4 linked regions of the Pelodiscus sinensis genome follow. The main gene of each other region encodes a partner of the protein of the gene in region 3 in a complex. Links are inferred from orthologs where the notes say so. Each region holds a gene or a part of one and is shown on either strand. Other genes may lie near its edges. The genes, in order: PHF10, PBRM1, SMARCD1 and DPF3.

Region 1 (7,638 bases), on a different chromosome or scaffold from region 3:
AAAGGTGTAAGAATAAGATAGACAAATTCAGACTATAAATGAAGTGCAAAATTAAGTGCAGATAATCAGCTATCACTAGAAACTTTAATATTAGTATTGCTCTTTTTCTGCCAAAGCCTGTGGTGTTCAAAATGAGAGTAGAAATTAGTGAAAGATATTTACTTGATGCAGTCTTGTTTATTTAAAAAAAACTACACAAACATCCTGTTTCTCTAGATACAGAAGAAATAAAACAAGAAACAGCTTCTTTTGCTCACACCACCAAGGGCATTCTTTTCATGCCACACCTCAACACAAAAACTGCCCCTAGTTTCTTCAGGTCAGCCACCATGCTTCCAGACACACACACACACACAGATACACACACCCTCCTCAATACTCAGCAAAAGCTCCTGGGCCCATTCACACACTCCTTTTCTCTTATTTAGCAAAAGGAACAAGGAGTCCTGTGGCACCTTACTAACAGATGTATTGGAGCATAAGCTATCGTGGGCAAAGACTCACTTTGTCTTAGTTAGCAGTATATGCTCTTAGAGTTATGTTAACTGAAGGATGAATTTACACTTATCAATTTCAATACAGTTTTAACTCAACCCAAAACAAATTTTCATCCAGCTCATAACACAAGATTTTTTCCAGAGGAGATGGTCTAGTTCAGGGGTTTCCAAACTTTTTTCAAAGAGGGCCAGATTTGAAGAAGTGAACATGCGTGAGGGCCATCCCTGCACTCTCAGCCCCAAGGTGGAGGGCCCGCGGGGTCGGAGGCGGGCGGAGAGCGCAGGGCACGCCGGCCTCACGGCGGCCCGGGGGCAGGGCGAACCCGCAGCCGAGCGGGGGAGCGGGGCTGCGGACGTGCCCTACAGGGCAGGCTCTAGGACCGCGGAGGCCATGGGCGGCGGCGGCGGCGGTGCGGCCAGAAGCGGCGCGCTGGGTGCGCCAGTTCCAAAGAGCGCCGGGGAGCCAGGAGAGGGGGAGGAAGCGGGGGCCGTATTAAACCGGAATACGGGCCGCAATTGGCCCGCGGGCCGGACTTTGGACATGCCTGGTCTAGTTCAACCATAGCTATTAGACTTGGGAAAAAAGGAGCTAGGATACACAGATCAAATCAAACCAATGATCAAAATTAGAGATGTAAGTGATTAGTTGACTATCCAATAAGCATATTGGATAGTCGACTAGTGACTTGACTAGTAGCACCCCTCCGCCCGCTGTCTCTATTAGAGAGAGGCAGCAAGAAGGGGAGGAGGAAGAGCAGGAGCCAGCGCTGGGAGGAACTGGCTTAAAAGCCAGTTCCTCCCAGCACAGGGGGCAGGGCAAGGAGAGCACAGTGGAGAACTGGTGCAGGGTTCTTGCTACATTTCAAAAGAAGCAGCACTGTGGGAGTAGAGGGCAAGGGAGGGGGGACCTCAAGCAGTCAGCCCTGTGCTTCCTACTTTTGAAATGTACAAATGCCCTCCTCAGTCTGCTTGACTCCCCCACACACGCTTTGCTTTTGAAATGTACAAGAGCCCCAGGTGAGGGGAGGCTCTTGCACATTTCAAAATCAGGAATTGCAGGCCAGCAGGGGACTGCTTGTGTCCCCTGCTTGCCCTCTGCTCCCACAGCACTTCTGACTTTGAAACATAGCAAGAGCCATCAGGGCTCTTGCTACATTTCAAAGGCAAAGGTGCCCTTATTGACTGAGGGTACATCTACACTTGCTCCCTAGTTCGAACTAGGGATGCAAATGTAGGTGACCAAAATTGCTAATGAAGCGGGGATTTAAATGTCCTGCACTTCATTAGCATGATCTTGCCAGCATGTTACTCTGCTCAACAGCTGATTCGAACCAGGAAGTGCACGAGGAGTAACGTTAATTCAAACCAAGGGGTTTGGTTCGAACGCGTTCTGGCACGCACTTCCTGGGTCTAATCAGCTGTTGAGCGGAGTTAACGTGCCAGCCAGATCATGCTAATGAAGCGCAGGATATTTAAATCCCCGCTTCATTAGCAATTTTGGTCACCTACATTTGCATCCCTAGTTCGAACTAGGGAGCAAGTGTAGATGTACCCTAACTGAATAGCTGCTGAAAATTGCATAGACTATTCGATTAGTTGATTAAACTAAATTTATCAGTCTTAACCAAAATGATCCTTTTTGGACTTAAATCTAATACTCTATTCTCAGTTCTTCCATGCACTCCCTGTATGACCAGTCCACCTTCTGTGCACTTTTGTTTCTCCATCTGTATAAATGAGATGATATTTAACCTCCTAGGTACTGAATAAAAGTACTCTGTATTATTATTAGGCCTTTTTAGACCACTTGCAAGCTTGAGTTATCCAAGATACTTTCAGACAGCATTTGCTAAGGTCACCTCTGAATCTGAAGGAAGGGGAGATGCAGGAAACAGCTGCACATCACTGGAAAGACCCGTTGCAAAGATACTAGCCACTGCTCATCTCTGGCCCACGGGGGCGGCTTTCAGCTTCCTGCGAGATTGGCCAGTCCCAAACCTAGAAACTGGTCAACTTCCAGGCCAGGAAGCCAACCCTGGAGGAGCCCCGGGAGCTGTATCTCCTTTGCCCGGGCTTAGCCCTTCTGGCGAGAAGGCTGAGGAGCTGTAGCCCGTTCGCGGGAAGAGGCATCCAGGGCTCCCTATCCCACCCCCGGGCCACGGCTCCCTACGGGGCTGGGGTCTCTGTGGGCCGGGGGGGGGGCGATGGGAACAGGCCGGGCGGGAGGTAGCTGCGCTACGGGCTGGCTCCCGCCCGGTCACTTCCCCCATAACACGGGGGGGGGAGGGTTGGTCTGATTCCCCCCGCGCGCTCCCGGGAGAATCCCGCCGCGCAGGGGGAGGGGCTGCCAGCCCGGCCCGCCTCTCTCACCTTCAGGGACTGGGCCCCGGGCGTGGCCGGGTCGCTGTCACAGACCCGCGGGGACAGAACCGCCGCCATAGCCGCCGCCCGCTCCCTCCGCTGGGCGGGGCGAGGAGCCGCAGCGTCCCCGGCGTCGCGCCCGCCCCGCCCCCTGCTGGCCGGACCCGCAGTGCGCCCCGCCCACCCGACACCCCCCTCTCGGAGTCACCTCCCCTCGGCCCTCCCCCGTGTGCCTGCGCCCCCTTCCCCGCGGCCCCGCCCACCAGGGCCTTCCCCACGTGCCTGCGCACCCCCCAGTGCCTGCGCCCCTTTTCTCTCTCACTCCCGCTTTCTAATTAGCCTCTCCCGGCGGATCCCCAGCGGCCTTTACTGGGGGGGGGGGTGTTAAACCAGTCTCAGCCCTAAGGCCAAGCCCTGAGACTGTATCACCAGACACAATTTCTAAGTAAAAGACCCCTCACTCCTGGTCTGCCACAACGCTCCAATGTCCAGGCTTGCCAGATGGTTTCAACAAAAATACCAGACACGCTTGACATTCCATCACAATCTGCATTACAGCTGATTTAGAAAATACCCGACATTTCTATTTTCTCCATTTGTTTTCTGAACAGAAAACTCAAATACTGGACTGTCCCGTTCAAAACCGGACACCTGGCAACCCTACCAATGTCAGGGTTTGGTTTTTGTTTTTTCATGCACAGGTTCTCCCTTTCTCATGGGCTGTGTCCAGACTCAGGGGTTTTTTCGAAAAAAGTAGCCTTTTTTCGAAAAAACTTCCCCTGCGTCCAGACTCAAGCCGCGTTCTTTCTAAATTAATTCGAAAGAACGCGGCTTTTCTTTCGATGGCGGTAAACCTCATTTCACGAGGAAGAACGCCTTCTTTCGAAAGTTCCTCTTTCGAAAGAAGGCGTTCTTCAATGTAAATAGGGCTTCTTCAAAAGAGAGCATCCAGACTCACTGGATGCTTTCTTTCGAAAAAGCAAGCCGCTTTTTTGAAATTTCTCCGTGCAGTCTAGACGCTCTCTTTCAAAAGAGGCTCTTTCGAAAGATGCTTTCGAAAGAGCCTCTTTCGAAAGAAGCCTGCAGTCTAGACATAGCCATGGAGAGTTCTTTTGCCAGAACACCAGCGAGGGTTAGTTAACTTTACATATAAATTGTTGTCAACCCTAACTGCTCAGTCCTATGACAAGGGGCTACAGCTGTCAGCCCAAGAAGTGGTAGAGGAGACCCCCAGGTAGAGCCAGACCAAGCCCAGGCGGTGCCTCAAGTGAGGAGCATTTTGGCACAGTCTCCATTTGTTAAGCTTTTGACTTGTTTTTAATGCATTTGTAGCCAGTTTTATGACTCTGATGCACAATTTGCATGTGTGGTTTATCGCTGTCTAATCCGATAATTTTTGCATGCTAGGATTCAACAAAACTTAAGTTACGTCCACACTGCAATCGTATTCTTTCTAAAGTAAATTGAAAGAACAGAGAGGTTTTTCCAACAGCGGTACTCCTCTTTCTACGAGGAAGAACACCTTTTCCGAAAGAGCTGTTTCGGAAAAAGGCATGTGTTGATGAAGAGGGGGCATTTCTTTTGAAAGAAAAGGTCTCCAGGAAATAACATAGGCCCAGGTGGACACTCCATCCATACTAATCACAACTCTATAGTTCCTGTCTCGTGCCAGCTCTTAAAGCTGCAGACACCTGGGCCAAGCCTTGTGGCAGGAAGCTGGCCATGGAGCAGCACCCTTATCGCACGGCTCTGTCTGCCACACACTGGGAGGTATGGCAGAGCAACAAGCCCCCCAAGATCCCTATAGCCCTCACAGGGAGCAGCATCAGGGCTCCCAAGGCCCAGCATAGGGCAACAAATGCTACGCACCCTCCTGGTCTGGGGCAGAAATCCTGTCCCTCCTCAAGTTGTGGGGGGAGGAGGCCATCCTGCAGGATCCCCACTCCCAGAAGCAGAATGCTGACATATATGGCCAGATGGCTCTAGCCAAGAGGGGACACCACCCCCACACTTTGGACCAAGTCAGGAGCAAGGTCAAGGAAGCTGCGCCAAGGATATGCCAGAGACAGGGAGCACAGCTCTTGCTCTGGAGTAGGACCTCACACATGTCCAAATTACAAGGAGCTGCACAGAATCCTGGGGGATGGTGAAGCCCTTTGCCCACCCATAATGGTGGACTCAGGACTCAAGACACCTGTGGTCACCTAGTGTAGCCAGACAGGAACCACCCTGTAACATCCATCTTTGCTGGCCTGGAAGCATGCAGGGCACACAGACCAGTAAAACAGCATAGTCTTTGAAAGCCTTGGACAGAAGGCCCGAATATGCAGGCTGCTGTGACCCTGGATGGCTGTAAACAGAGATACGCTAATTGCTGACCAAGAGGCTGCCGAGGAGTGCCCGTGACTGAAACCTATATTGATACGAACACACACTGTCCAGGGGGCAGGAATCTCCCGCCCAGTAAAAAAATGTCCAGTACTCACAATTTAGTTATCTCTCTTGCAAGTGTAAATTAAGTTGAAACTCCCTTGTAGGAACTGGCGTCACAAAGACAGGCCAACACAATTTGGCATCTTAGATAAGAAAGAAGATACGGGCCCCTATGGCTACGTCTAGACTGGCACGATTTTCCGGAAATGCTTTTAACGGAAAAGTTTTCCATTAAAAGCATTTTCGGAACAGAGCGTCTAGATTGGCACAGATGCTTTTCCGCAAAAGCACTTTTTGCGGAAAAGCGTCCGTGGCCAATCTAGACACGCTTTTCCGCAAAAAAGCCCCGATGGCCATTTTTGCAATCAGGGCTTTTTTACAGAAAACAAATCTCAGCTGTCTACACTGGCCCTTTTGTGCAAAAGTTTTGCACCAAAGGGACTTTTGCCTGAATGGGAGCAGCATAGTATTTCCGCAAAAAGCACTGATTTCTTACAGTAGGAAGTCAGTGCTTTTGTGGAAATTCAAGCGGTCAGTGTAGACAGCTGGCAAGTTTTTCCGGAAAAGCAGCTGATTTTCTGGAAACACTGGCCAGTCTAGACACAGTCTAACTGTTTAAGGTTTAACCTGACTCCTTCAGTTGCTGTAACAGAACCAAGCACAATTTAAAAGAACTTCAGCCGGTCATAAGGGACAGATATAGGAAGAGCTGGGGCATTTGGATCGTGTTGCTTCCAGGGGACAGATCCGTAGGGGCATCTCTCAGCCTTCCCTAGGCTGCCCGCTGCGAAGGGATCCTGTATCTTAGCAGTTAAAATCTGAGATGTAATAAGCTCTTCCTATAAACTCTGGGGCATCTGTCAGCCTGTTGGTTGACCTCCACGAAGGGATCCCAATCCTAGCAGACTAAGACACAGATGTTAAACTCCTCGGGGCGCCCGTCAGTCTCTCCTAGACTGCCCACTGCGACGGGGTCTTGTGTGCCAGCAGTTGAAGACTCGGGTGTAACACACACACACACACTGCCCTGACCATCTGCTGACATCTAGCCGGAGCTCCTTGATGAGGAGGAGGACAAACAGCAGCTGCAGGATGAAGAGGACACAGCCAGTACAATCACCCTCACCCTGGAGCCAGTACCCCAAGCCCTGGACATCTCCCAGGTATCCTCTGATGACGGGGAGGGATCATCAGGTGAGTGCTCAGTTTTACACACATACCAGGGCAGGAGAGGGAGGTGCAGAGGGGATGAGGAGCGATCGTCGCTCAGCCTGGGCAGTGTGCTTCACTCTGTGCACGTGCAAGCACATGCAGCGGCAGTGTGTACCACATGGCCTCAGAAGCTAGCCCTGGAGCACCCATGGTCTCGTGCTCACAGGCTGTGTGGAGGACCCACACACGTCTGACCAATGGGGAACTCCCTCCCACCACCAGACACTGCTGGAAGCAGACTGAGCACACGGGCACAGGCACAGGCACAACCCTGAGCACTTTGAGGGGTGCCACATACAGCACACGACCATGCTTGCATGCTCAAGGAACCATCTGCTCTTGTGGATGGCACTGCCAGGTCAGCTGTGTATGCAGCCCCCATGGAAGGCCAGGCTGCTCCAGGCCCCTCTCCCGCCCATGGGATCCCACTGTTGCTGGACACTTCCCTTGCCAGCTTGTCTGTGAAGATGGAGTGGGGTGGTGGGAAGCGTGGTCCCTGGGGCTCGTCCTGCAGTGAAGGCCACACATGGCCTGGCTCACGAGACATCACCGTCCTCTGGCCCAAGGACTGTTAGTCTCTGCTCACACAGGAGGGCATGGCCTCATGCACAGTGTCTGCTTGGATGACTGACCACCTCTCCCTCTTTTCCTCCACAGCTGGACTAGCCATCACTGAGGGGTGCTCCATGCCATCAGAGGCAGCTGCCCGATCCCGCTGGAGTTGCAAGTGCAGGAGGGTCCATGAGGACCTCATGAGGGAACACGTGGCCATCCTGCGTGACATGCAATGAACCCTGGCCCAAAAGGTCTGGGATGAAGCCAAGTGGTACAACTGAATGTGGGACCAGCTTGTGCAGCAGGGCAAAAACTTGTGTACCTCCATCCGGGAAGTGATGGCACACTTGGCTCCTGTTCCCATTGTAGCCCTCCCCACTCTAGCCCCTTTTCCCACTCTAGCTCCCCCTGCCATGCCTATGCCCCCTCCGCTGACCCCCCCAGCCATCTCGGACCCCACTCCAGCCCTCCAAGTTTGCCAAGGTCCCCAGCAGAGGTGTAGCAAAGTGGGGAGGAAGGGGGACGGTTGCCCCCGGGCATCATGCTAGGGGGGCACCGGGCTGGGGTGGGACCAGAGCTC
Region 2 (6,857 bases), on a different chromosome or scaffold from region 3:
CACATTCCTTTAAAAACAACCAATAAGGCAGACACACAGATGTCAAGAAAACTATTTTTTGCTATGTGGGCATCCTTCGCATTACTGCAGAAACCGTTTTCAGATCATTGGTAAATGTCACAAAATGACAGAGGAAACTAGGGATACAAAGGGTTAATACTTAAGAGATAAGCATGCCCTTACTGGCTTACCTGGGTAACCCTGGCCCTTTCTGACAACAAAAATTAGTACAGGATCTCCCCCAGGTGCCGCCACCTTGGACAGGAGGGCCAAAACTGAAGCCCAAGCCTCACCACCCCAGGGTGCAGGGCAGAAGCCAAAGTCCAAGTTCTTCAGCACTGACTGGGGGAGGAACGGCAAAGCTCTTGATGACAGGGGTCTGGCTCTGACCATAGGTCCCTGTAAGTCTAGCACCAATCTTGGCAATACATTAAAATGGGGCTGCATTCCAATTTGGGGTCCTGACACACAGTTTGAAAACCTCTGCTCTGGACTAAATACAGTAAACTTCCGATAATCCGGAACCTTTGGGACCCACATTATCAGATATGCCGGACTATCAGAAGGAGGGGCTATGAGGGGGGGGGGAATGACACCCCAGACCCCCTCATAGCCCCCCCTTCCGATAGTCCGGCTCTGCCCCAGGAATCCCTGATTCAGCCGCTGCTGAAACTGACCAGCAGCGGCTGAATCAGAGACGCCTGGGGCAGAGCAGCTGGAGTGCTGCTGGGTTGGTCCGGTAGTGCCAACCCAGGCGTCCCCAAGAGCAGCTGGGGTGCTGCTGGGTTGGTCCCACAGCGCCGCTCCATGGAGCTACTGGACCAACCCGGCAGCACCCCAGCTGCTCTGCCCCAGGTGTCCCCAAGTCAGCTGCTGAAACTGACCAGCGGCTGACTCCAGGAAGCCCGAGGCAGAGCTGCTCTGCCCCAGGCTTCCTGGAGTCAGCCGCTGGTCAGTTTCAACAGCGGCTGAATCTGGACGCCTGAGACAGAGCAGCTGGAGCGCTGCCGGGTTGGTCCCCGCAGCGCCACACCTCGGCTCTGCGGGAACCAACCTGGCAGCACCCCAGCTGCTCTACCCCAGGTGTCCCCAAGTCAGCTGCTGCTGAAACTGATCAGCGGCTGATTCCAGGAAGCCCGGGGCAGAGCAGCTCTGCCTCAGGCTTCCTGGAGTCAGCCGCTGGTCAGTTTCAGCAGCGGCTGAATCAGGGACACCTGGGATGCTGCCCAGTTGGTCCAGCAGCCCCGAGGGGCAGAGCTAGGGGACCAACCTGGCAGAGCCCCAGGTGCTCTGCCCCCGGCATCCCCGATTCAGCCGCTGGTCAGTTTTAGCAGCGGCTGAATGGGGAAGCAGGGGGCAGAGCAGCTCCAATGGTCCGGCTGCCCGGAGCACTTCCGGGTTCCTGATGGTGCCGGACCATCAGATGCCGGACCATCAGAGTTTTACTGCATGCCTAATTCTTTCAGCCTTTTCTCAGAAAGGGACAAAATACCGCTTCTGTCCCAGAGAACATGTCAGGGCAGGTAGAAATGATAGACAAATTCACGTGAATGACAGTCTTACAAATCAAAATACAGAAACAGGATGATGTAATAGATGGTCTCGGCCTCAATTTTTTCACCTGTAAAGTACTGGGTGCATAGTTAACAACTGTAGAATACTTGAAGATGCGTATGTAGCTATACAAAAATATTTTATTAATATTTATAGGGCCATATATAGACCCAATCCTCCCAAAAACCTTTTACCGAAAAGGCCTCACAAACTTTCCTAGAACATGTATTCCTTTAAAGTACCATTTAGTAATATTTGAATATTAGCAGACCTGTATTTTACCCAGTAGTTGATCAAATAAGTGGTCACATTCTGTCCCTTGTCCATTACCCCTTCAAAAATTAATAAAGAAATAAATATGTGCATTTAATGTTGCTAACTTTATCCTTTTACAGTACATCATTCCCTCCACTGACTTTTCCTCATATGGTCAAACGTGTTTCAGGATTTATCAGTAATCATATAAAATGATAATATGTTCCCTTTAGGGATATAAAATTCCAGTTAAGTGGTTAACCAGTTAAAGTATTTGATCAGTTAACCACACATGAGGAGGAGTTGAAGGGGAAGCTGCCCCAGCCAAAGCCCCTTGTGCTGTGGCAATGAAGACTGTGGAATCCCCATCCCTGGAAGTTTTTAAGAACAGATTGGACTAGGGGTGTTAAATATTGGTTAATTGGTTACTCAGCTATTCTATAGTCCCCGGTGAGGGGCTGGCAGGCAGTATGCTCTGGCCCCACTCCCGAGGAGCCCCCTGCCACTCCGTGCTGCAGCAGCCCCTGTCCGTGGGGAGAGGGGGGAGCTCCCAGACCTGGCGCAAGCTGGAACTGAGCCGGGCTGCCTGCCCGCCTGGCTCCTCATACGGTTTAAATGCAGAGCCGCAGCAGGGGGTCGGTCCCAGACCCCGCGCAAGCCAGGACTGAACCCGGCTGCTACAAGATGTACTGGGGGAGGAGAGTGGTGTATCTCTAGCACGGACTGGTCGCTTTGCTGATCAGCTAATCGGCTCCGCTGTTACCTCCCTCGGCTGGACACAAGGGATGATGCAGGGTTAGTCGGTCCTGGCTCGGCATGGGCGGGGCCTCCCCCTACACGTCGAGGGGGCTTTGCCGTGCCCCAGGCCGTGCCCCCCGGGGTCAGCGCTGGGCCAGGGCTCCCGGGTCCGTACGGCGAGCGGACTGCCCGCTCCGTGCCTCAGTTTCCCCCGCGGCGGGAGAGCTCCGGGGGGGGCGCAGCGGTGCGAACAGGGGCTGGGCCCCCCCGGGCAGCGCGGCGGCCACACAAAGGGAAGCGGCGGCCTCCCGCAGCCCGGCCCGCGCTTACCCAGCCGGCCTCGCTCCGCCTCCGACAGCCGCGGCCGCGCTCGCCCCCCGCCACCGCTGCTGCTGTTCCGGCCGCTCCTGCCCACTGCCGGGCCCGCCGCTGCCGCAAAGCCCGCCCGGCCGCCAAGCGAGCCCGCCGCGCGACAGCGCGCGCAGCGGCACCCGCCTGCTTTACGGCAGCGTCGCGGGACCCGCCTGCCCCTCGCCAGTCGGCGGCCTCCACGTGCCGAGAGCGGAGCCCGCCGCCGCCGCGCCATGAAGCGGCCCAGTGAGTGCGCGCGTGCGAGGGGCTGGCAGAGCCCCCCCCCCCCCGCGAGTTCTTCCGGGCTGCTGAGGGGAGGGGGTGACGGCGGCTGCGGCTGGGACCCCGGGGCCCGTCGGCCCCCCCCCCCCCCCCCCGGCTCCTACGAGCCTGCGGCGGCAGGGCCAGGCCACAGCGCGGCTCGCCCCACGTGCTCGCAGTTGCCTGCGGGATCGGGGCCCGCGTGTGGAGCTGAGCTCGATTTTTTCCAACCCGGGGTTTGGGGGGCGGCCCGAAAGGTGCCGCTTCGGGCCCGGCCCAGCGAGTCGGTTCAGCCCAGGAACAACGGAAATAGCGGTTAATTTTGAAAAGTGAACGTCGATTGATTTAAACCTAAGATGTTGTCTTACATTCAAATCTGACCCTTTAAAAAGATAAAACATAACGGGTATGTCTGCAGTACGGGGCCAAGTCGAATTAAGACCTGCAGCTTCAGCTACATGAATTGTGTAGATGAAGTTGCTTAATTCAGCTTTTGGCTACGCTGCAGGAAGTCAAAGTAAGAGCCACTCTTCCATCGACTTCCCTCCCTCCTGGTGAAAGCATGGTCACTGCATCAGCCAGAGTGCCCCTCTCACTTCCAATTAGCTGTCTTAACTAGACAGTTAATTCGAACCCTGGAAGAGCGACAGCTTCCATCTTCCTCTACTGTAGACATACCCAAAGTGAAAAAACACCCAAAAGTGACTAAATTGAAACAAAAAAATCAGGACAAAAATTGTTTTGATCAAATGAAATATTTTGATCGATTTTAAAAGTCCCTTTTTAGTTTTCAGTTCAGCAAAATATTTTGAGGTGGGGAATCATTTGGATTAAATAAAATTTTGGTTTTTTTTCCCATCTGAACCAAAAATCTGTTGTTTGTTAAGCTTCTTTGGCTACATGTTTTTGGCTTCCACATTAGTGTTGCTCATAAGATTTTCATTTGGAAGATCTACTTAATTGCAACCTGTTCTTATGTTTTCAGAGTTGAAGAAGGCTAGTAAGCGCATGACCTGCCACAAACGATATAAAATTCAGAAAAAGGTAGGTCCCAGTGCCAAATTTGGTATTAAGCATGCTTGGCTATATTTCAGCCCTCATCATAGAATATATAAAGACATATTTTTGTGGTGTTTAGAAACTGTAAATTTCAGCTCTGCATTCAAATTTGGGTGGGGGATTGAATGTAAAGTTTTGAATAGAACCCATTTCTGTTTAAAGCATAACTAAATGAAGGTGCTTGAATGACCAAAATGCTTTTGGAGTGTGGTGTTATTTTTATTTAACTTCTTATATCACAGTAGTACTAGTAACTAGCCGAATAATTTCAAAGCTGTTGGTGTTTCTTGTTTGAATAAACATTCATAAATTGATTATGGCCTGAGTGCAATTTGTATTATAATGTGAATGCTAGATACTAGTTACAGAGAGGTAGCCATGTTAGTCTGATCTTGCTAAAACAAAAAAAGCAGTCATGTAGTACTTTAAAGACTAATAAGGTATGATACGATCTGAAGAAGTGGGTCTGCCCCACAAAAGCTCATCACCTAAGTAAAGACTAACAAGATAGTTTAAGTGCTAGATATTAATATCCCAGTGCCAAGAATTCACGCATGTACAAATCATTTTCTTTTCTAATGCCAAATACCTTGACAAATAATACAAAAATTATGTAATACAGAACTTTTGTGAGTGGACATATGGTTCAACTACAATGGGAAGTTACTTTTAAATTTAGGGAACAAATCCACAGTGGCAGAGAGATGGACATAACTTGAGTCTTGGGATCTTTAATTTCTGCAGTAGTCGGGGATCTGTTTATTTAAGTACAGCTACATGCTGATTCAGTCTGTAATTGAAAGCCCTTCACTGCAAACACAGAAAAATCGTATATACGTGACTATGAAAGAGAGAGAATGGTGAGGGTCTCTGTATCAAACTGGGTTTGTGACTCCCATACTGGATTTTATTTTTTCTTGCCTATAGGTTCGGGAGCACAACAGAAAACTCAGGAAAGAAGCCAAGAAACGTGGACACAAAAAGCCCAAGAAAGATCCAGGAATTCCCAACGCTGCACCATTTAAGGAACAAGTTCTTCGTGAAGCTGAGCAAAGGAAACAAAGGGTAAATTACAGGTTAGAATAGAATGAAGGGGTTTTGTGCATATTCCCATTCCAGGGAAGCTTGGTATGTATCATGCACTATAAATAGTCTTAATAGCTCTTCACTCTAAAATACTACAGATACTTTTCCAATTTAATATATTAGATAACAACTAGCTATACTAAATCGTGTGGAATTTTTTAGTATTTTGTACTGTAACTGTATAGAAGTAAAATACAAATGTGTGGAATTTTTAGCATAATTAGTTTCCTACAAAGAATAAGATTTCTACATAACCTACACAGCTGTCTTTAAAAAGGAAAAAAATTGCTGAAGACTGCTGTACATAGATATTTGTGGATAGCATTCACTGTCTGCTCATGTTACTACACAGAGGGACCACATCTACCATCATTTAGAAGGTGTCTGTCACTATAGTATTTCTGTCTGTCTTGGCACCAGAGTTAACTGAGTGCCTCAAAACGTTTAATTGGCAGTGAATGTATCAACTTTTCATCAAGTAAGAGAAGGAGTAGAAATAAGCTTGCATCAGCCAACCAGTTCCTTAAGCTCCCAGCCATGATTTCTTAATATTTCCATACCAAGATTGAAAGGATAACGGAGACTGAATATCCCCTTTCCTTCAGTGTGACCACACTAGGTCAAGATTAAAACAAAAACCATACTCAAGAGTGAAATCTTGGTCCCATTGATGTTTTGCCATTAAGTCATTGCAACCAGAATTTCACTCCTTATGTGGATAGAGAACTTAGCTTTCTAGGGCGCTTAACCTGGCACAATTCATTAGCACTAAAAACTGCAAAATATTCAAAGAATAATTCTAGGTGGTAATGTGTTGCACTTTTATAGTGCTGCTCTTTATTTCTGAAGCACGTCATAAACAATCCTGATCATAAGTGGGAAGGAAATATACTCTTTAGCTTATGAAATGTTGTCCATCTTGTGTTGCAATTAGCTTGAAGAACTAAAACAGAAGCAGAAACTTGCTAGGCAGAAGAACCTTGAAAAGAAAAGAAAGCTACAAGCTAAAAAGGATGCTACCGAAACGAAGAAACATCCAGAAGAAAAGGTATGTGTTTGTAGTATAATTTTCCTTTTTTTCAAAGAAGCTAGTTCACTTGCAGCACAATAGAAAAGTTTCTATCCTCTCATAAAGCCTAATCCAGCACCCTTTGAAGTCTATGGCAAAATTCCCATTGTTTTCATGTTGGAGCAACAGAAAAGACTTGTTGATATATTTAGTGAGGATATGGCAATTATAATGCATCCGTTTTAATCAAAGTAAATATAGGGTGTCTGTTTTAGTGCTAACATCCATTTTCATGCAGTGTTCAAGAACAATATTGCAAATATCACAGCCTGGCTAGGTCTGAGTCCATTAAGATGTATACGTGTGATAAATGTAATCCTCGAAGTATCTTTTTTCTTAAGACATGTATTCCCGGATTTGTTGCTTTTTCATGTTGTTGGAAATATTGTAGTTCTAACTGTTATTACCTTCTGTTGTGTAAAGACAATATTTTAATTCAAATTCTCTTATCTGCTCCCACCCTCTTTTTATTCAGCAATCAACC
Region 3 (6,984 bases):
GAGGAAGCATGAATAAAAACCCTCACTCACCCTCTGAGGTAGAATCTTGTCAGCCATTTTCTTTTTCTTAGCGCTGTTTAAAGAAGGATACATGTATTAAGCGGGCAACCAGTTTGTTTCTCAAACAGCCAGAACACAAGAAAAGAAGCACAGGTGTGGGTTTATTCTCAGTCTTGGGACTCCGCTATGAGGGTACTTGCTCCATAACAACTGGCTCAGTCCAGTTCTCTCTTTCAAAGACTGTTTATTGTGACTATCAGTCTCTATACAGACACCTTCCTTACCCATCCCTTCCTCCCCAAGGCCAAAGCAGGACTGAAGCTCAGAAGCTCCTGCAAGACCAAGACCACCTATTATTTGAAGTATCCCAACAGATATAGATAGCTGGGGTTGCCCTGAGTTTGGAGAGGTGTTCGGTTAAATATTTATTTTGGCACAAAATGACTCTCGGGTTTGATTAAATATTAAGCTGGATTTTTTAACAGATAAGTATTTTAAGCCAGGCAATACTGTTGATATGTTAAGTAATAAAAACTCTTGCTCTTGAATAGGAGCAAAATATTATTATCTGAAGCTCCCATCACCCAGCGAAGTAGCTGCACAAAAAGTTTAAGTCAGTTTGAGCCAAAACAATTAAAGAAGAAAGTCCATGAGTATGCTGGGAGCAAGGGACACAGAATATGTCTACACTTGCACCCTCTGTTGAGAGAGGGATGCAAATGCACCTGAGCAAAATTGCAAATGAAGCACTGTGAATTTCCCACACTTCATTTGCATATTAATGTTATGGTGCTATTTCAAAACAACAAAAGCTGTGTAGACGCGGTTATTTAGAAAGAAAAACCTTCTTCCGAAATAACTGGTAAACCTCGTTGTAGGAGGAATAAGGGTTATTTTGCTCAGCTGCATTTATATCCCTCTCTTGAAAGAGGGTGCGAGTGTAGACATACTCACACAGAAGTCCCAGATGTTATGACCCAAACAACAAAGCAATGTGCTGATCTCTGATATCAGTGGTAAGCATACGAATTACTGAATATTGGCCAGTCCATTTTTGTAATGTGGCCCACTAGCATCCAAAGGGGTTTCTTTGGATATGATGGACAAAAATGTATGATTTGATCCCTATTTTCTGGAGGTTCATAAGTGGCCTATTTCAATTTAGATACTGCTTTCCTCGTGAGCATTTTTCTTTCTGAACCACCTTAGATTATGTCTGCTTGACATGGATATTGAGAGTCTCCCTAGCACTTTTGTAAGGGTCGGTGGGGTGGATGCACTGGTGTTTTGGACAAAATCTGCCTGACTTTGAATAACTATTCAGCAATGTGCTGTTAATTGGTTTGTTCCAGCCTTCTGCTTTAGAGAGGGCTGGATTTTGGTGGTATTATAATTATAGAACTTGTGAAGGAATTTGGTGTCCTTCAGGAGGAGTCACTAAGTGGTCACAGAAAAGATAAATCAACCTCATAATGAGGTGAGAAATCTGGCCTCTTACTTGTGGTTACGATTCTGAACCGCTTGCTGCTGGACCTGCTGGATTTGCTGAGGAGCTGGCCTCTTGCGGGACTGATCCAAACCAGACTGGGCCATTCCAGGCCGGACTGAGGGACTCCCACCATATCCTGGGGGACCCATGGAGGGTCCCTGAGGTGTCATGCGGCTGCCTGGCAACATGCCAGGGCGCTGAGGAGAGAAACACAGGGATCTGGTCTCCATCCAACCCAAACTTTGGAAAGATGGAGACTCACCAACAATGGGCTGTTAAGTCCTAAGTACAAGTAGGCTACCAAGCCATGTCTGCTGGGAGCACAAAGCCATGTGACTCATGGGCTTGCTTAGATGGACTCAGATCACAACAGGGCTAGCAGCTCCAGAATGGGATGCTTCCAACCAGGAATAAACGGGATTGTAACATATAAACCATAACCAGCAAAGCTGGCTATGAAGGACGATTCTTAATTTTACACACCTCTCCCCACTGTAGGCCTTATGTCCAAACCCCTGCCTACAATTCACTTCCACTCAGTGAATCATCACTCCTGACATTCCCATAAGATACTCCAACACTCACCCTTGCCTCAGCTCACTCATTTTGTCTAGGCTGCCTCTCCTCTCTCCTTGTTCAGCTCTTAGCTCCCCTCTTTCTACTCAATCTTCTCTTTAGGGTCACATTTTAAAATGAGAGTAACCCTTACTCAGTGATAGACATATAGCCGTGTTAGTCTGGTGTAGCTGAAACAAAATACAGGACTCTATGTAGCACTTTAAAGACTAATAAACCATCTTGTTAGTCTTTAAAGTGCTACATAGTCCTGTATTTTATTTCACCCTTACTCAGGGCATCCCTGATGACATTCTCACCCTGTTGTGCCCCCAATTTTACCCAAACATTTCCTCCTTACCCTCAAATACACCTCCCCATAGTTGGCCAAGTCACCTCACCATGCACTGAGGCTGTTTTCTCCCCTTGCCCTGAGCCCCAGCTTGCTGTCATTTCACCCCACATCCTCCTTCACCCCAGAGCCCTGGACTCACCGGGCCTCCTATGCCCCCAAGACACGAGGGTGCTCAGACCCCTCCCTCCGCCCCATTTACTGCCCCCACTTCAGACAAAGACCAAGCCCGGCCACCCCCTGACTCACCCTCAGGGACCTTCCTCCCTTCCTATTGTTCCCTTAGGGGCACCCCAGCCCAAACCCTTCCCCCTCCTGACCCCTCCCCCATCCCTCCTCCGCCTCCATCTCCGGCCCCTCCCTCTCCCCCGCTTCTATCCCCTCCCCCACTCCTGCCTCCAGCCCCCCCCCCCGTCTTACCGGGTAGGCGGCGCCCGGCAGGGGGGAGCGGTACAGGCCTTGCCCGGGAGCCGGGCCCATGCGGACGGGGGGCCCCGGGGTGCCCGGCCCCAGCGCTCCGGCCCCCCCGCTGCCGCCGCTCGGAGTCACCGACTGGAAACCCGCCCGCGCCGCCATCTTCTCCCAGCACAAAGCGGGGGAGGGGAGCGGAACCGGAACCGGACCCCGACCGTAGAGCGCGCCGGGCAGAGCGGCGCCTGAGGAGCCATAGAGTGCGCGGGGAAGAGCTCCGAGAGAGGCGCGGGACGCAGGCTGCTCCCCCTGCCGCTGGGAGGCCGGAGCTGCAAGGGGCCGCGTGTCGTCTAGAGCCGTGTTTCTGAGCCTTTTTTATAAGTATCCTTTTCTATCCCTCTGTCTACCTAGATCCCCCCAGTACCTACAGTTTTCAGACACAACATTTTTTTCTACCCATTGCAACACATTTATTTAAGCAACTTAATTGGAGCTGGCTGGGTGATGACATTTCTGGGTGTCAAAAGTACAAAAACAATAAAGTGCTGTAAAACTTACAGCAAAAGTTCAGTTTTCTCCAAATTGCCATTGTGTTGACATACTCCTCAGGCTTCTCTTGGGTACCCCACAGGGGAAGGGTACTTGTGCCACTGGTGGGGAGAATGGTGCAGGCAGAGACTGTGCCTGGGGGCAGTGTGGTGTGGAGGCCTTCCAGATGGGCTGTGGGAGGCAGGCACCTTATCCACTGCGCCCCTGGAAGAGTCCCCCAACCTTCTGGCCTTCAGAGCCCCCCCCCATATCTGTCCTATGTCCCAAGGGTGCCAGGTCCATCCATTGCTAAGCTTGTGTTGGGGGGGGGGCTTGACCCCTGTGCTTCTGGTTCTGCAGGTAGGTATGTTATGCCCTGCACCACTGGAGGAGACCCCCAACCTCTCTACTTTTAGGGCCCCCCTTCTGTGTCCTTTGTTCCCATGATGCCAGCTCCATCCCTCGGGAAGCTGGTGGTGGATGTCCCCAGGGGCATGGGGGAGCACTCACCATGGTAACAAAGAAAGGATAAGGGAGGTCAGAAGGGAGGGAGGTTCAGGACCGTCTCCTGTGGTGCAGTGGATAAGTACCTGCCGCTGGAGCCAGAGGTACAGCACTTGAGCCCTGCCTCCCTGGGGACAGCCACCCCAGCTGTCTGAGGGATGGAACATGCAGCCTGGGAACAAAGGGGGCCCTGAAGGTAGGGAGGTTGGGGGCTCTATCCCGTAGCACAGTGGATAAAGTACCTGCCGCCAGAGGCTGAGGGCTCAAGTCCCACCCCCACCCAATGTGGGTTCACCCAACACAAGCTTGGCAGCAGATGGACCTGGCACAGAGAGGGACAGTGCCAGGGGCCTGCCTGGGGAACAGGAGGCCATGCTTGGCAAACAGAGGGCAGTGTAGAAAGGGGCAGGGGGCTGTGCTCATGAGGGAGGGAGAGGGACAGGGACCCACAAGCACTGATGCCCAGAGCACCCTGGCTGCACCAGCAACCATCACTCCTGCTGTTAATGTATCCTAACACAAACACAGGGAATGCAAGGCCATGAGGTAGTTGGGGCTGGACCTTTATGGAGCAGAAGGCTGGACTAGGTTCTTCCAACCCTCATCTGTGAGTGAGTCTACGAGAAAGTTCTTCCAGCAGAGCCTAGCCCAGCTCTCCATGCGCTGTGTGCCCTAGGGATGGGCTGGGGCACCCTGGGGGGCAGGCCTGCGCACGTGCCATGTGCCCGGGGGCAGCGCTGCGCGCCTGGGCCCAGGGCACCAAAAAGGCTCAGGCCGGCCCTGGGCTTGTGTCCCACGCTGCCCCAGCCAAAGCTGGCTGCCTGCAGGTTCCACAGTCCAGATTTCTACCTCCCAGGGGCAAGGCAGATAATGGCTTCTAATCCACTCTGTCTGCGGCAGTAATGGAGCAGCTGGACAGGTCCACAGCAGAGTCTTAACTGAATGAGAGGAGCCCCAGGAAGCCAAAGTCCATTAGTGCCAGAGGGCCTCTTGAAGGGACGCTTGGGACCCTCTAATCTGATTGGCTCCAGGCCTGGAATATCCGGTGGCAAATTTGCTGAGCACCATTTAATTAAGTAGGAGGCTAATGTGATGCTGCTTTGTAGGGGCAGGAAGTCCTCTGTGGCTGAGGTGTGCTGGGCTTGTTTCCATACACACTGCCCTGGAGTGGGACCACAGGGCTGCACCATGGGAGGGGCCATAAAGCCAGCTTCCTGTGGTGCTGTGCATGACAGACAAGGTATTAGCACTGGGGCCTTGGCCAAACTCCTTCCTGTCTCCCTAACTGCCCACTGCAGTTTCTACCAGCTTCCTCTTTGCTTCCTGGCTGTGTGGCAGCTTTGTGAGGAGGCCAGGTCTTAGCAGCGGGAAGCCCATCCCTGCATACAGACTGGGGCCTGGCGCTGAAGAGTGCCCTTTCAGCAGGCCGGGAGCAGCATTCCCTTAAAGGGTGCGTTTACACAGCAGCTTCATTCCGGACCAACTGATGTTATTCCAAAATAACAAAGAGTTTGTCTACTCGACAAGCCATTATCATATATATAGTAGCCCAGTGTCTGTGTCTGTAACGCCGAAATGCTGGCTGTTCCCTCTGGGGGGGCGCTATTTCCTGAAATGCTGGCTGTTCCTCTGGGTATGTCTACACTACAGCACTAATTCGAACTAACTTAATTCGAATTAGTTAATTCGAACTAAGTTAATTCGAATTAGTGCATCTAGACCTAAAAACTAATTCAAATTAGCGTTTTGCTAATTCAAAACAGCATATCTACATTGAGTGGACCCTGAACTGAAGTTAAGGCTGGCCGGAAGCAGTGCCAGCAGGGCATCAGGTTAGGACTTAGGGTGTGGAGCTGCTGCCTCAGGCTAGCTGAGGGCTGTGCTTAAAGGGACCCAACCCCCACCCCGGACAGACAGTTCTCAGGGTTCCCTGCTTGCTTGTCTAACTCGATGAGGGACAGCAAAGCAGTCCTGTCTTGGAGTGCCCTGAATGCCCACACTCGGCACATCACAGCACTTGGCCATCAGACCGGCTGCACTTGCCGCAGGCTGCCATCCGGGGGCGGGGGGTCAATCGGGGGGCTGCAGGAGAGCTTCCACCCCGAGGAGCCCGCAGAGCCACCCCAGTCCTCTTCTTTAATACACCTGTAACTGTTTAAGCTTTAACCTGACTCCTGCAGTTGCTGTAACAGAACCAAGCACAATTTAAAAGAACTCCAGCTGGTCATAGGGCAGACACAGTGAGGGAGAGCTGGGCGTTTGGATCGTGTTGCCTCCAGGGGACAGATCCGTAGGGGCATCTGTCAGCCTTCCATAGGTTGCCTGCTGCAAAGGGACCCTCCCCTAGTCCTAGCAGCTAAAGACACGGGTATAATAAGCTCTCCCTGCAAACTTTGGGGCATCTATCAGCCTGTTGGCTGCCCGCTGTGAAGGGACCCCGGTCCTAGCGGCTAAAGACATGGACATAAAACTTTGGGGCACCCATCGGCCTTCCCTAGGCCGCCTGCTGCGAAGGAACCTTGAGTTCTAGCAGTTGAAGACTCGGGTGTACAGGGGCAGATGACCATTTTGCAGGGCCCAGGGCAGCACAATTTTGCGGGGCCCCCCTTTGCCACAGCGCATGTGCGTAGCTTCTTGAAGCCCGGGGCGGTCGCCCCACTCGCCCTGCCCTGTATCCGCCCCTGTGGGTGTATAACACACACACCACACACTGCCCTGACCATTGGCTGACACTCCCCCGTGGCGGCCCAGCTGAGTGGTGCAGAAGTCAGCTGAGCACCACGGCGGGTGGCAAAGGGGGGCCCCGCAAAATTGTGCTGCCCTGGGCCCTGCAAAATGGTCATCTGCCCCTGTACACCCGAGTCTTCAACTGCTAGAACTCAAGGTGGTGACGTGCGGCGTGACAGCAGCTCCAGGCCCCGCCTCCTGGCCGTGAATGTCACCGCCCCACCTCCCTTTGCCTACCACCATGGTGCTCGGCTGACTTTTGCACTGCTCAGCCGGACTGCTGCGGGGGAGCAAGCGGCCGTTTGGGCTCTGCACCCCACACGCACCCTGAACGAGAGGCAGGAGGGGGAGAAGAAAAAGAGAGAGACAGAGAGAGAGGCAGGAGGCAGAGGAGAGCTGAGAGAGAGAGAGGAGGAGG
Region 4 (7,341 bases), on a different chromosome or scaffold from region 3:
ATTTACATGTGTATTGTTTCCTGATCAGCAACTTGTAACAATAAATGGAAATTATAGAATGTTTTATTAAACAAGTTGTTCAAAAAAAAAAAAAAAGACAGATGGTGTCAGACAGCCAGTGACAGTCCTGTTTCCCCTACCCAGCAGTGGTACTTAAAAAGGCGCACAGAGAAAAGCAAACCCTGCACTTGAGGTCTATTGTTTCCTCTCTTCTCACCCCAGGGGGAGGGGGAGGAAAAGGGGGCTAATTATAACAGACCTGCTCCTGCTCCCATTGACTTCAGTAGGAACAGGGCCGAGCTTCAAAAGAATGTAACTACCCGTCCAAACTAGGCAGGATTTAGTACGTAAGGGAGAAGTAAATCACAGGTGTGAGTGTGTCATGTTCCACAATTAGAGAACGTACAAAGCTAACACAAAACAGAACAGTGTCGTTCGGTAAGGGACAGCCCACGCTGAAATCTCCTCCCGCCCCCGTCACTCCATGTGGAGTGACTCCTCATTTGCACCCGTGTCAGCCAGCGCAGAACCAGGTTTCCCTTCGCGCTCCACGCACCCGCCCCGCGCCCCGCCACGTGAGACTCCTCGGCTGCTTTTTAGGAAGCTCGCCTCCCACAACAAATGAATGATTCTGCCGAAAGAAAACCAGCCCCGACCTCCATTGTTAGGAATCCTAGTGCCGTCGTCACATCCAGACACAGGGCATGTCGCTCCACACCAAACGGACCCCTAGGACAATGCATTCCCTCACCAACCGAAGTTGGTCCAGTTAAAGATACCCTCGCTCGCTGTGTTATATGTGTAGAGAGACAAAGTATACCGGAGAGTTACTTACGGTGCTTTCAGGAAGTTACTCTGGCAATGAACGGGACTGATCTAACTCAGATTTATTTTTTAATTGAAACATTAAACTGATTTAAGCTGCAGAATGCGGGGGGAGGCGCGTTAAGAAGTTGTTCTCACTGGGACAACTATAACATATGGAATCTGATTGGTGGCACATTGTATACTCCACACACATATTCACCGGGTTTTGTCTTTCTCCCCAAAAGACAGCTACTACTCCTATGCTAGCCCTGTTCTAAGGGCACTTCCCCCTTCTCGACCGATTTTTACCATTTGCTAAATGAAAGGCTATTTAATGGCAGACAAACGTTTGATGCCAAAATGGAGAAGGAGCGATGCAAATCTGACAGCTGTGCGTGTACCCCCTCCCGGCGTACAGCTCCCCTTCCTCCAGATTGCTGCACAGCACAGAGACAACCCCGCTGGAATCCCCGGGAAAAACCTCCAAGTGGTTTCCCAACTCCAATCGGAAAGTTTAATTGAAAAGACACAGCTCAGAGTCGGAATTACATCTCTACGACCTCAAACGGATAAAATACCCACGCAGTGTGACTGGGAAGTCCAAATGAAGTGTCTCCCCCAGGTACGCCGCTTTCTTGCATTGTGAGCGTCTTGTGTTATTAGCAAGCGCTGCCCCCTAGCACAGAAGTCATTTTTAAAAGGTTGAGACAGCCCCTTTTCTCCCCCACAGACGGTGCCAAATCCCCCTCTCCCTAATGCCTAGAGGGATTAACGGTGTGTGCTGCAGGCCACAAGGAAATGAGGGACCTGATCCAGAGAAAAATGCCTAGCTCCTGTGTGCCTCTCTTAAATCCGCCTTAATACAAGATCGGAGAACCCAGCATATTTCTAGAGCAGAGGCACCTGTCCCAATACTCTGCGCCTGTATCTCTCAGCAAACAGCTGGCCAGATTCGGCTTCTCATTTACATCCGGGCAGATTTCGGCGACCAGTGTGTCCAGCCCAAGATGGAAACACAATCAACTCTCGTTGCCACTTTCAAAAGAGAAAACCTCCCCTAGGCAACGAGCTCTCTAGACTTCCTGCCTAAAAAGCACCCAGCAGTGACCCCGAGTCATTCATTCCGCGCAAGTCCGGCTCTCCAGTCCTCGCACACAGACCGAAGTGTAATTGCAATGCCCCTGCTGCCCTGCTAGGAAACGAGCGGTGCAGCCCCTTCTGCTCCCGAGCCAGCAAACGCTGTGGCTGATTCTTTCCTCCTTTTCAACTCATCCCAACTCCTAGAAGCTTTGCAAAAGAAAACTCCGAACTGCTGTCGGAGCGCTGCAACACAGACAGTTCTGCTCCCGGCTTCCAGGACCGATCCCTCTCCCGTGGACACGGAGTTGGTGGCGGGGGGAGACAGCCCGGACAACAGGCTCAGGACTCTGTCAAGTGCAAGCCCCTCCTCAGGGGTCCTGCAGGACCTAGCCGTTTCCGAGATCCCCGCAGCCCCGAGAGCTGCCAGAAGCCCCGCTGCCATCCTCCCCTTCAGAGCTCCACTCTCCCTCCCTCTCGGCCAGCCAATTAATCACAATCCAAATGTAACAATTTCTTTTTGTTAATTTCAGTGCAAGACGCCCGTGTGTGTTGCACAAAAAGAGAGGAGCTCAGAAAGGCAAGAGGGAGGGAGGAGAGATCAGCTGGGAGGCTGGAGGCACCGGGCTCAGGCTGGCAGCAGCATCGGAAAGGCGCCTTTTTTCATATTTAAACCACGCGGAATATGTACATTTTTGATTCCTACTTACGCTTTCAGGGGGTTGTGAATGACAGTCGCCATTTTGCTACAATGTAACAGAATATTGTGTCTCAGAGTTCTAAAGGTTCGCTTAGGGGAAGCGGCCAGCCAATCAGAAGACGGGATACCGGCCTGCCGCCCAATCCGGCGCTGGGGGCGGAGCCAGGGCTGTGCTAGTTATTAGGGGAGCTGTCAAAGCCCAGAGGTCACTCCCTTTCTGTGGAACTGGAAGAGAGCAGGTCTTAAAGGGGCAGTTACACTAGGGACTGTCACTACACCGAACTAGAGTGAGGGGGGCTAGGATGTGGAACAGAAGACTCTTTGGAGTTATCTGACTCTTTAATGTCAAGAAATCTAGAGAAAGGAATGAGGGTGAATACCTTGTCTTTGTGGATTGCTGTGCCTGCCTTTCATTTCCCAAATGGCATGTCCCCTTATTCATGTGCAAGGGTTGGATGCATGCCATTTCATCAGGAAAATAAACTACAGGTGTACTGACATTTGGTGCAGTAGATTCTTGAGCTTTATTATTCCCAATGTGTTTTCCTTTACCTGAAGCCACTTTCCCCTTTAGGCTTCTTGGAACTCCTAGTGCTTACAGTGACTCCAGGGCAGCACCCTCTCCCCCTCCCCTAGGAATTTCTCAATGTCAGTCATCCAGCTTCTGCAGCCAGTGCACTGGTTACATAATGCACAGTGGCCAAACTGCCTGCCTGCCTGTTCTCTGTTTTTCCCACAAAGCAACTTCTGAAGTGATTGTCCTGTCTAACATGTTGAGACCTGGGCCTCTGATCTTTCAACATGGAGAGAGGGAGGGGGGAGGATTTTAATCTACATTTCATATGACACTTACTTTCATGGTAGCAGAGTGACTTGGAGTCAAGAATCCTGGAACAGATACAGCTGTTAAATGCCCATTTCTGGGAGAGGCACTAACTCCAGGAAGTCAGAGTTTATCTTCGACTAATTAAAAAAGAGTATGCAAATGAATTAGCCTGCATGAGCTAAGACACTCAAGAAGTGGCTAATTCTGCTCTCATACCACTGTAAATCAGAAGGAACCTCACCACAATCAGTGAAGTTACACCAGTGTTGATCTAGCAGAAGGTAGATCACACTCAGATTTAAGCAGTTTCTTCTTGTCAGACATCAATGTAGGTTTTGCCTTACAACATTTCTGTACCTCTCAAAGGTCCCCCTTCTGTTTTCTTGCAGCTCCCGCCAAGGGGGCCTGAGGGTGTTAAGATGAGGGCAGGGGTGGCATGATTTGGCAATGGGTAGGAAGCCTATAGCTTGACCTACTAAGGCAAGATTAGGCACTCAATGTAGCCGAGAACTGTTTCCCCTTTGCACTGGCAGTCTCATTCCACTTTGCCCACATTAAATGAACAAGGCATCCCGAACTTTCTGTAATGCTTTTGAGGCACAATGTCCCTATATTATAGACAGGGAAACTGAGACACGGACTATTCAATAAATTGCCAGAAGTCATACAGAAAGTCATCAGCAGAGCTGGGTACAGATAAAAGCAAATTGCAATAGTCCTACCTTCTCTCCTCCAGCTCACAATACACAGTATCTCCTACATTTCAAGGCTGCAATAAAAGACACAGTTCAGCTCTTAGTGCCAGACATGCTTATGGCATAGACTCTTGGGCAGTGACCCATTCATTAAGCATATTCAGCAAGAGGGCTTAACATCCAGGATCTGTTCTCAACTCTGACCATTTCAATTGTTTGGTACCTTTCCCTTTTCTGTTTTAATAACTAGAATGAAGAATCCCTTCAACAGAGGCTCCAAGTTGGTATGGAAACACTCCACCCCCAGAGTTTGAAAGTGACACCAGCAATACATGAAGGAGCAAGATCCAGTCTTTCTCCAGGAACACCCTCAGAGAGGCCTTTTAGGTGCCACCAGCTTTGACCCTGGCTGGGACCACCAGAGCAGCCTGCCTGCCACCCTCTACATGCCTCCGGCTCTGGCCCCATCCGGGGCCGATGGAAAGCTTCTGCCCTCCACATGGCCACAGCCCCAACCCCTAGCAGCAGGAACCCACCCACCTGCAGTCCCAACTCCCAGCAGGAGCAACCTTCCTGCTACGTGGTCCCCAGTGGTAGCCAGCCCCCAATGCAGCCCTGCCCTCCAGAGCATCTGCCCCCCAATGCGACTCCGGGCGCAGGCCTGTCCCCTCCCCACCTGCCACACCGCCCCATGCCAGCCACCTTCCACGTGCAATAGAAAGGTGAGTGTTGCAGCACAGCTCTGCAAAGGAGGTGGGCAGGCTTACAATTTTTTGTGCGCAGCCATTCACCTTAGAGGGAACACTGATCATGGTCCATTGCTTTCACTCATTCAGAACTTGGTAAGTTGGAAGTATGAATGTTTTGTGATATGTCTGGGTTTCAAAGGAGGTTTGAGACAGCAGCACTTCTGGAACAGAGGGCTGAATTAAGAATGGGGTCAAAGAGTCCAAAGCCCATTATAATAATGTTTAATATAATATTGGCCCAGAAGGCAATGGATATGACTTAGGAACCTCATGTCTGCCACTTCCCTCTTGGCCATAGAGAAAGTCAGCTGCTAACTGCAAATTGTTGGTAAATGCATATGTGACATAGTCCTTCAGAGAAATTAACAGGATAGTATGTTCAGGTACCTATGGCTTATGCTAGATAGCATCAGAATTGCTTAACTCTGTCATTGTCAGCAAGATAAAACCTTTCTCCTTTAGCTCAAAGTATAGGAGAAAATTGGTTCTATCTCCATTGTCACAGATTCTTACTGGCCATGAACTGTCACATAGAAAAGTCATAATCATCCCTAGGGGGCCATAGATTTGTTTATATAACATTTATATTTACATACTGATGGGTACCACATGCATGAAGGTGATAAACATCTGAGAAACTGCAGCATAATGATACATTTTATAACCATGGGATAAATTGCAAAACTATGTGAGTAAAGAACTTAGTGTCCCTTTCACTGCCTTGGTTGTACTGTGCTTCCTAGTCCACCTCTATGGAATTTATTGTAACATTCTCAGCCCCTGAGCAACTTCAGACAGCTCTTATTTGAATTAAAATGTCTCTCAACCTTTCCACCTTACTGTACCCTTTTCAGGAGTCTGATTTGTCTTGCATATCCCCAAGTTTCACCTCAGTTAAAAACTATTTGCTTATAAAATCATACATAAAAATACAAAAAAGTCTTACAGCAATCTTTGACTGAAAAATTGCTGACTTTCTCTTTTTACCATATAATTATAAAATAAATCAATTGGGATATAAATATTGTACTTAAATTTGAGTGTATAGAGCACTATAAACAAGTCATTGTTGGTATGAAATTTTAGTTTGTATTGAGTTTGTTAGTACTTTTTACATAGCCTGTTGTAAAACTAGGCAAATATATAGCTGAATGAATGTATCCCCTGAAAGACCTTTGTCTGCGTACCCCTGAAAATCAATGAGGTATGCATAGCCCTGGCTGAAAAACAACAAGTTAAACAAAGCTACTCCAGAAATGTTTTGTCTTTCTCTTCCCAAAGGCTATGTCTAGACTGCAAGCCTCTTTCGAAAGAGGCTTTTTCGAAAGTATTTCGTGTTACAATACGCGGATCGGAAAATCGATCCGCTTTTTCGAAAAAGAGCGTCCTGACTGCTGGACGCTCTTTCGAAATTAAAAGCCACCTGGAACCGCTTCTGCTAGGGCATGGGGGCAGCATTTCCTTCCGGGTGCTGCTGCCTGCCCTTTGCAGAGACGCGTGGTTAAAGGGACGCCCCTGAACACCCGTTGCTCTGCTTCTGCAGCTGCCTTTGCTGTCCCTCTAGGAGGTAAGCAAAGCATTGCAGTGCTGATTTGGAGTGCTCAGCTTCCTGGGACACCCCAGCAGGTTTTTTGTTTGGAGGTTTTTCTGTTTTAGACCCGTTTTTTCGGCATAGAGCCAGAGCTGCCCCTGGGCAGGCGATGGCCCCACGCCATCATACTACAAGTGTTGCTGCATCTGCATGACACAGTCATGAGGCTACTTCCCCATCTGGACCCAGACCAGAGGTACGAAGGGATCGTCCGTCATGTAGCCCCACTGCCCTTGCCTCCAAACTTCTTTGTGGACAGGCATTTTTGGAGGCTTGACACCAGCTCTGACTGGTGGGACCGGCTCGTTATACAGCTCTGGGATGACCAAGAGTGGCTACGCAACTTCCGGATGAGAAAGACCACTTTCCAAGAGCTGTGTACCTGGCTCGCCCCTGCTATGCAACGGCAAGACACCCACCTGCGGCCCGCTATCCCCGTGGAAAAGAGGGTCGCCATTGCCCTCTGGAAGCTGGCAACCCCCGACAGCTACCGCTCCGTGGGACACCAATTTGGAGTGGGCAGGTCTACTGTTGGATCCATCCTGATGGAGGTAAGTCATTGTCTGGGGACAGTCACAGTTTGGGGTGGGGGGAAGGGAGACTGTCAGGAAGGGCAAAGTGGAGTGTGAGGGAGCTCCTCCACTCACCCTGAATTGTTGGGGGGGGGGAGTTCTGAGGAGGGGATTCCCGGGGTGTTTGAGAGGGAAGGTGGGTGGTGGGTTCTCCTCCTAAGAGATAAGGCACCCCTTCTAACATTTTGTTGTCTGTCTCTTTCTGCAGGTGGTGAGGGCCATCAATTCGGAGCTGCTGAACAGGCTCGTCTGTCTACCAGATCTGGACAGCGTCATGGCTGGCTTTGCTGCCCTTGGCTTCCCGAATTGTGGAGGAGCGCTCGA

The links.
Region 1: SMARCD1 (region 3) and PHF10 share a complex: the UniProt entries of both Homo sapiens proteins name them as parts of the neural progenitors-specific chromatin remodeling complex. The link is inferred for Pelodiscus sinensis from reciprocal best matches to the Homo sapiens genes SMARCD1 and PHF10.
Region 2: SMARCD1 (region 3) and PBRM1 share a complex: the UniProt entries of both Homo sapiens proteins name them as parts of the SWI/SNF-B (PBAF) chromatin remodeling complex. The link is inferred for Pelodiscus sinensis from reciprocal best matches to the Homo sapiens genes SMARCD1 and PBRM1.
Region 4: SMARCD1 (region 3) and DPF3 share a complex: the UniProt entries of both Homo sapiens proteins name them as parts of the BAF complex. The link is inferred for Pelodiscus sinensis from reciprocal best matches to the Homo sapiens genes SMARCD1 and DPF3.

Annotation. Positions count from the first base shown.
Region 1 is NC_134713.1:121,613,157-121,620,794, forward strand, and holds the start of PHF10 (PHD finger protein 10), read right to left. Parts: upstream 3,022-7,638; 5' UTR 2,937-3,021; coding exon 2,868-2,936; intron 1-2,867. UniProt on the Homo sapiens protein: Involved in transcription activity regulation by chromatin remodeling. Belongs to the neural progenitors-specific chromatin remodeling complex (npBAF complex) and is required for the proliferation of neural progenitors.
Region 2 is NC_134721.1:41,055,337-41,062,193, reverse strand, and holds the start of PBRM1 (protein polybromo-1), read right to left. Parts: upstream 3,016-6,857; 5' UTR 2,878-3,015; intron 2,605-2,877; coding exon of another isoform or gene 2,595-2,604; exon of another isoform or gene 2,580-2,594; intron 562-2,579; exon of another isoform or gene 1-561. Other genes in the region: GNL3 (guanine nucleotide-binding protein-like 3), read left to right, coding at 3,631-3,676, 4,145-4,203, 5,146-5,283, 6,239-6,352, 6,849-6,857. UniProt on the Homo sapiens protein: Involved in transcriptional activation and repression of select genes by chromatin remodeling (alteration of DNA-nucleosome topology). Required for the stability of the SWI/SNF chromatin remodeling complex SWI/SNF-B (PBAF).
Region 3 is NC_134729.1:6,453,502-6,460,485, forward strand, and holds the start of SMARCD1 (SWI/SNF-related matrix-associated actin-dependent regulator of chromatin subfamily D member 1), read right to left. Parts: upstream 3,012-6,984; 5' UTR 2,973-3,011; coding exon 2,817-2,972; intron 1,687-2,816; coding exon 1,499-1,686; intron 74-1,498; coding exon 31-73; intron 1-30. UniProt on the Homo sapiens protein: Involved in transcriptional activation and repression of select genes by chromatin remodeling (alteration of DNA-nucleosome topology).
Region 4 is NC_134714.1:68,031,508-68,038,848, reverse strand, and holds the start of DPF3 (zinc finger protein DPF3), read right to left. Parts: upstream 3,006-7,341; 5' UTR 2,627-3,005; coding exon 2,595-2,626; intron 1-2,594. UniProt on the Homo sapiens protein: Belongs to the neuron-specific chromatin remodeling complex (nBAF complex).